Linked DNA regions of Arabidopsis thaliana. The protein of the gene in region 1 interacts with the protein of each later gene in a pairwise test. Each region holds a gene or a part of one and is shown in the gene's direction. Other genes may lie near its edges.

Evidence for each region.
Region 2: the proteins of AT4G25400 (region 1) and CRF11 interact in a two-hybrid assay, tested with the Arabidopsis thaliana proteins (one large-scale study listed by BioGRID).

What each region holds. Positions count from the first base shown.
Region 1 is NC_003075.7:12,979,383-12,982,757, forward strand, and holds AT4G25400 (basic helix-loop-helix (bHLH) DNA-binding superfamily protein), read left to right. Parts: upstream 1-1,654; 5' UTR 1,655-1,843; coding exon 1,844-2,014; intron 2,015-2,205; coding exon 2,206-2,598; 3' UTR 2,599-2,854; downstream 2,855-3,375. Other genes in the region: AT4G25390 (Protein kinase superfamily protein), read left to right, coding at 1-64.
Region 2 is NC_003074.8:9,473,533-9,478,116, forward strand, and holds CRF11 (Integrase-type DNA-binding superfamily protein), read left to right. Parts: upstream 1-1,879; 5' UTR 1,880-2,286; exon of another isoform or gene 2,287-2,386; 5' UTR 2,387-2,519; coding exon 2,520-3,518; 3' UTR 3,519-4,058; downstream 4,059-4,584.

The sequences.
Region 1 (3,375 bases):
AGAGTTGCCTAGTGAGTTCTCACCATCGCCACCATTAAAGACAACGAGGAAGCAGCGCCGTTGACTAATTTAGGAATCATTTTGATTATTATTATTCAAGTGTTACACCGCTAGTTTTAGGAACTTTGATTCAATTTCACTATACTTTCCAATTTCTCTTTCTATAGTTTCACACGCATTATTGACATTGATTTTTTTTTTACACGTTTATACTTCGATGTCAATATGTCATACAACACTTCTTCAAATCGGAGTTGCTCGGGATTGGATTATTAGCAGAAAGAAAAGGCTAAAACTTTTTCCACCTCCAAAAGTCATTTAAAGGTCACACAAATCCTATGGGCCTAATCAGTTAACAAACCACTTCCAATCGAGTTAAATGAAATGAAGATACCAAATTGGGTCACGTTAGGAGTCAGCAGTTTGTGTTCTTTATATATGGACATGGGCCATCTTCGATTTTTCTTATTCGTTTCTACTTAAAATCACCAAGATTTATTGAATTTTTCTTCTTATTATTATTTGGCCCTTATATAGAGTATGGTCTATCCATAATTTGGCCCAGTTTTTTAAAAATACTAGATATTTGGAACATGCATGCTTTTTATTTTTAAATGTATCAGATTCAGATGAAACTCAATTATTAAAAAAAAAATCATACATAAACAGTTTAAAATATTTACTACTACTTAATTATTTTCGGATTAAGAAATCCCTTATAACATTTCATAAAACATAGTATTCTGCATTTTTTCAAAAAGTTGTTGTAATGTTTAGAAAACAAATTGAAAATGCAACAGTTTTTAATGAATAAATGCAAGGCGTTATAGAATGTTGGTTTGTTTTTCATTTTAAGTGTTTTTCAATATTTTAAATAATAACAACAACAAAAATCATTTGCTTTCGACTAGAAACAATGACTTATATCATTGCTTATACGAGTGCATGTTACAATCGTATGTGGCGGTTAGTCATCCTACTTGGCTCGATCGATGGTGTATTTGCTGAGGAAAGGGCTTTGTGTTCTGATTAAATTTGAGTTTTGATGGTAGTATGGCTTGAGTAAAGGTTGAGGATGTTGTTTCATTTTCATATGTCTGGCTCTTTCACCTCTTTGGTGGGTATGTGTTGTATCAAACAATCGTCTCTTAATACAATACCAGTTGACAAAAAAAGAGCAGTAACTAATTCTTATAAACTATAGTACATTATTTCCTATATATTTTATAACATAAAATAAATCATATTTTCTCATAATTTAAAGTGCTATTCAATGATTTTTAGGAATACGATCCAGCATATGGCCTTGCAGTCTATAGTATATATAAAAATAATTATATGGTACCTATGTCAGAGATATCTAGGATATATAGTAGATCGTCGTACAATTGATATATCATATAGTATGTGTATACAATAAGAAAATAAACATATAAATTGTACGATCTCTAAAGAATACTTTAAAAATGATAAATATTAAGATATGGAATGTTGAAGGGAACCTATTAAAAAGAGAAGAAATTAATGATGAAGCAGAAAGACGTCATTGCTTACCCTAACAAACCTCTCTCTCCATCTTTTTCCGATACGTCTACCAATAACTTAGTATTTTTTTCTCTTAGTTTTTAATATTATAACCAAACCCTTTTACTATCTTTTTTCCGACTCCCATATCTTTTTTTTTTCCGACTCCCATATTATTCAACTTTACAACAAATCCCTGACTAGAGCAAATCCCAGAGCACAAGATCAGATCCTTCTGTCTCATCATCATCATCATTATTATAATCATAATTACAAGAAGAATCGTTGTTCAAAATAATTAACGTATAACGACTTCTAGATGAATAATTTTCAGGAGAAGAAAAGAAGGCGTAGTAAAACGCCGAGAGTTTGTAATAACGAAGAAAACATGGAGAAGTTAGTACATAAAGAAATTGAGAAACGAAGGAGACAAGAAATGGCTTCTCTCTACGCGTCTCTCCGCTCTCTTCTCCCTTTAGAGTTCATCCAGGTCAAAACCCTAATTACTCTTGCTTTTAATTTCTTCCTCTTCTTCTTCTTTTTTTTTTGTTAAGGAAAAAGTCCACAAGTATGCTTTGTCGCTTAGTTTGTTAAAAAGATTCACTAGAACTCTAACACTCTATCATCACAATATCTCAAGTTGACCTCTACACCTTAATTACGTTTGATTTGGTTTTGTAGGGAAAACGTTCAACGTCAGATCAGGTGAAAGGGGCAGTGAATTACATAGACTATTTGCAAAGGAATATCAAAGACATAAATTCCAAGAGAGATGACCTCGTGTTATTGTCTGGACGAAGCTTTAGGAGTAGTAATGAACAAGAATGGAATGAGATTTCGAATCATGTCGTGATTCGTCCGTGTTTGGTCGGCATAGAGATAGTGTTGAGCATTCTCCAAACGCCATTCTCAAGCGTTCTGCAAGTGCTTCGTGAACACGGTCTCTATGTTCTTGGCTACATCTGTTCCAGTGTAAATGATAGACTCATTCATACTCTACAGGCTGAGGTACAATATCTCGAGCTTACTAACTTTACAGCAATCGAAGCATTACTAACTTTACTAAGAATATAGAGAAATACTTAATCATAACATATATTTCTAACTAACTTTACTAAGAATATAGAGAAATACTTAATCATAACATATATTTCTAACTTTGTTAATGTTTTCGATCTTGTCGGCTTACAAACGCGTTTATGTCCTAATTTGGAATGGAATATAGAATATAGCATACATCTTCTTCATAGCTTTTTGGAATGGCTTATTGTATCAGAGTAATGAATATATATGTTTGAGTTAATATGTGAAGTTGATTTGCCTTATGTTGAGTTAATATGTGAAGTTGATTTGCCTTATGTTGCAGGTCAACGATCTGGCTTTGATCGACTTAGCAGACCTTAAGGATACACTTACCCTGATGAAGTAATTCAAATAATCAAACGTTTTTTTTCAGTAGATTCCTTTTAACTTCTCAAACCAAAACGATGTATATATATGGTTCTTAGTACTTTTACTGTGTATTTATCTAGCTACTTTAAAGAATTTGTGCGTAAGAAACTAATGCTAGCTAGCTTTAATATCACAACCATCTCTTACATATTATATAAACTATGGTCCATCTAAACTTTTTCTTTATCATTGATGTTTTGACTATCTTGTTTATTCACAGAAAAAAATCTTCATTTTGAAAATTTGATTAAATATCTTATGAAAACAAATTATCTTTCAAGAAAATATATTAGTTTACTCTATCTTTTGTTCATTAGGGACAATGACTATTATTTTGAGGATTACCGCATGAGGCCTTCTTATTTCTAGACGTCTCTGCTCCTATATATAAGTCATATA
Region 2 (4,584 bases), on another chromosome or scaffold:
TTTTAATCGATCGAATCGTAATGAACCTTACAAAAAAATCATAAAATTTGAAGTTGATATATAAATTTTAATCTAGAGATGTTAACTTTTTGGATTAATCTGGAAGCGACCTGTTTTAAGTTGTTTCAAAACTATTAGGACCGAAACCAAATAGAATCGAGCAAAAAATGTTAGAAATTTTTATTTTATTTTGTGTTCTTTAGGTTAACCAAATGTTCGTTCATGGTGTAAGATATCAAATAATGGATGAGCTTAACCTCTAAAATACAAGTTTAAATTGATCGGTTCAAATCGGACCGAACTTAAATGATTTTGCAAGTTATTAGAGTGATCATGATCATGTTATGTTACGGAATATTACAGAGTAACTTAACTTAAGCACTGACTTAGTTGACCCAAAAAGAGACCATTGACTTCATGAAATGCTTGAGTGTGGAAAAAATAAAACAGAGTTATTCAAAAACGTTTTGAGTTGTGAATTATTCTCATTAACATTGTATTTATTTGGTGCACAAAAAAAAAAAAAAAAAAAATTGTATTTATTTATACCCACTAAAGATGGGAAGAAGACTTGTAAATTATGATGAAAAGTCCCTCGGTTGGTAGCAACTAGCAAATGTGGGGATGGAACAATCCTCCACGTTCGAAATTGTTCTTCTTTAGCACAATCAAGATACTGCAAAGTAAACTACCTCTAATGTAATTAATTAACCTCACAAATTGTTATGTTAATTAATGGTATTGAATTATACTCGTCGATCTTTTGTAAGATATTTTTGTTGAATGCCGAAAAAATTATCAGAATCTATAATTGATGTTTTTGTTTAAGAGTCAATTTGGGAGAATGAGTTAAATTACTATAGAATACAAGTATACATCACATCAAATAATATGAATAATTCACTAAACAATGAAGGAGTAGTTACTAGTCACTCTCTTTTATTTATTTTTAATTAAAAAACGAATATATATGTTATTGTAGTTTAATACTATTAATAAAATAAAATTCTATTACTTCACTTAGCTAAAAGACCCACAGTGCAGTAACAGTGAGAAGTAAATTTCATGAATAATGTATTACAATACAATAATAACTTGTTCGATACAAAGTATTATTCCTTTCACAAACTAAATTTATTTACCATATATCCATAATATAATTCCAAAAATAGTATGTTTTATTACCATATTGTAAAAGGGAAAAATGTCATTTAAATCATCACTTTACCATTTTCGTTGGTTTAAAACATAAACTCTCGATTTGGTGATTTAAATCCTCAATTTTATGTTGACGTTTAATTTAATCACGAATTCTCGTTAACTAAGCCAATTAAGACACATCGTTAAAAAATTTTCTAATTAAAATTTTTGAGTTTTTCTCTATTTTTCTTCAGAATCTCTTATCTTCTTTGGAATTTCTCTTCTTATTCGAATTCAAAGTAATCTTTCATCTTTAGGTCGATTGACGATACCGGGAAAAAAAATTGTGTCTCAATTGGCTTAGTCAACGAGAATTTGTAATTAAATTGAAAATCAACATCAAATTAAGAATTTAATTCACAAGATCCAAAATTCATACTTTAAACCAACGAAAATGATAAAGTGATAATTTAAAAAACATTTTCCTTATCCCTATTGTAAAACTATTTTCACCAATCTTAACCGAAAAAATGAAATAAAACTGTCCAAAAAAAAAAAACCAAATGCTAATAAAAAACGAATTTAATTTCCCATCTTCGTTTTTTTTCTTTCTTTTAATGCTTTAATAAATTTTTATTGAGATCTGTGTTTGAACAATCGTTTCTTAAAAGATTTTTAACATCTTTTTAAATTCCTCGGTCTCTTAAATTTACCAGTTACATAACTTTCTTTTATTTTTCCGACATAAATTAAAAGTTTTGTCTTTGGTAATAGAGAGGCAGAAAAATCTTGGCCATAGATTTGTCATCTGTTTTCGATTCGTTTTGATTCTTTACTTTATCTTCTTCTTCTTCTTCTTCTTCCTCTTTTTGAATCTTTTATCTTCTCACTTTTCTTTTTCACTTTTGGGAAGCTCGAAGAGCTGAGAGGAGTGTGAGAGAGAAAAGGATCTTTGAAGTCGCCGGAATAATTTGTTTAACCGGAGCTCTGTCTTTGACTCTACGCTTCTCTCTCTTCTTCTTCCTTCTTCGTCTTCTTAATCGCTTTCTGCTCTGTTTTTCTCGTTCATCAAGCTACATCTACTAGCTCTCTCAGTGATTGATTTCTCACAGTTTCATCGATTTCCATGCGTTTAAGACCTAAAAGGTAACTGGGTTTGCTAAAGTTTGTTACTTTGAATGGTTTTTATAGTTTCTCTGTTCGAATCTGAAGTGGGTTGTTGTGTTTTTGCTGGTTATTGAAACAGGACTTGTTCTGGGGTAAAGGACTTTTCTTGTTCTTGAGAGAGTTCATTTTGAGGCTTTTCTGGGAATTTTGAGAGGTTTTTTAGGGTTTAAGGGGGTTTGGTTTTGAATTTCGCACACCAAGTGTTCGATAAAATGGCTGAACGAAAGAAACGCTCTTCTATTCAAACCAATAAACCCAACAAAAAACCCATGAAGAAGAAACCTTTTCAGCTAAATCACCTCCCAGGTTTATCTGAAGATTTGAAGACTATGAGAAAACTCCGTTTCGTTGTGAATGATCCTTACGCTACTGACTACTCATCAAGCGAAGAAGAAGAAAGGAGTCAGAGAAGGAAACGTTATGTCTGTGAGATCGATCTTCCTTTCGCTCAAGCTGCTACTCAAGCAGAATCTGAAAGCTCATATTGTCAGGAGAGTAACAATAATGGTGTAAGCAAGACTAAAATCTCAGCTTGTAGCAAAAAGGTTTTACGCAGCAAAGCATCTCCGGTCGTTGGACGTTCTTCTACTACTGTCTCGAAGCCTGTTGGTGTTAGGCAGAGGAAATGGGGTAAATGGGCTGCTGAGATTAGACATCCAATCACCAAAGTAAGAACTTGGTTGGGTACTTACGAGACGCTTGAACAAGCAGCTGATGCTTATGCTACCAAGAAGCTTGAGTTTGATGCTCTGGCTGCAGCCACTTCTGCTGCTTCCTCTGTTTTGTCAAATGAGTCTGGTTCTATGATCTCAGCCTCAGGGTCAAGCATTGATCTTGACAAGAAGCTAGTTGATTCGACTCTTGATCAACAAGCTGGTGAATCGAAGAAAGCGAGTTTTGATTTCGACTTTGCAGATCTACAGATTCCTGAAATGGGTTGCTTCATTGATGACTCATTCATCCCAAATGCTTGTGAGCTTGATTTTCTCTTAACAGAAGAGAACAACAACCAAATGTTGGATGATTACTGTGGCATAGATGATCTGGACATCATTGGTCTTGAATGTGACGGTCCAAGCGAACTTCCAGACTATGATTTCTCAGATGTGGAGATCGATCTTGGTCTCATTGGAACCACCATTGACAAGTATGCTTTCGTTGATCATATCGCAACAACTACTCCCACTCCTCTTAATATCGCGTGCCCATAAGTTTTGCAGCTAGGTGTTATTATTAGCTATAGGAGCAACGTAAAAAGCTCGTTGTTACTCGGTTTTGTCTTAAGTTATTAAAGTATAGCAGAGGCAGTTAATCTCAAGGGAAGCAAAAACCCTAAAGATAGAAGCAGATGCAGTTTTGTGTGTTGGTGTTACTAAAGAAAGTTTTGTTGACATAATGGTTTTGATGTTGTGGAGAAGATAGAGAGGTGTGATCGAAATTGTAAATCTCAGGTGGTTTTTTTTGAAGGCAATTGTTTCTCATTTAGGGTTTTTTTCTATATGAGGATTGTCTTTGAAAAGCCTTTAGATGTTTTCTAATTCGTAAGCTCTCTCAATCTTTGTAAGTTTTGCCTGTTGAGTTATTGATACATATGTGAGACCTACTTTATTTGTTTTGTGCTACATACATTGTTGATGGTTTCGTCCTCTGCTCTTGTTAAGTCATTGTTACCAATGTTTGATTGCTGTTTCTTTCGGGTTGATTCAGTCAGACATGAAGATAACTAGATAAACCGTTTGTTCTCTGCAATCACTACCTATAGAGTTAGGGTTTAGGCTTATCCTCTTTTTGCATTATATCAGTAAAGTTTTCTTTAAAAGTTATGTGAACAAAAACACATAATGCAAGATAGAGAGGTTAATGGGTTTGGTTGATGATAACAGTAGGACAAATTATCACCGCTCTAATTGCGTTGGTTCTTAAACCATTTCTTTTATAATATTTAATATTTGATCTAATTTTCTTAAAGCAACCTTTGCGTATATTACAAGTCTTGCCAAAATTTTCAACTAGTTCCATCTTTGATATAAAGAGTATATAGTGGTGTGTTCTTTTGTGTCAAGCCATCTCTCAACTTCAGACTGTAGCTGCTTTTGGATTTTATTAGTTTCGTTTTAGTGAACAGAATTATGGATATACATTGAATTGAACGTGCATATTCATTTTGTTTTTGTTTTTTCAACAAATTAAAATGAATTCTAAGATGTTTTTGTTTTTTTGTTAATTGAATTCTTAAGATGTTGACAGAAAATAAATTGAAGTCTTAAGAATAATTGA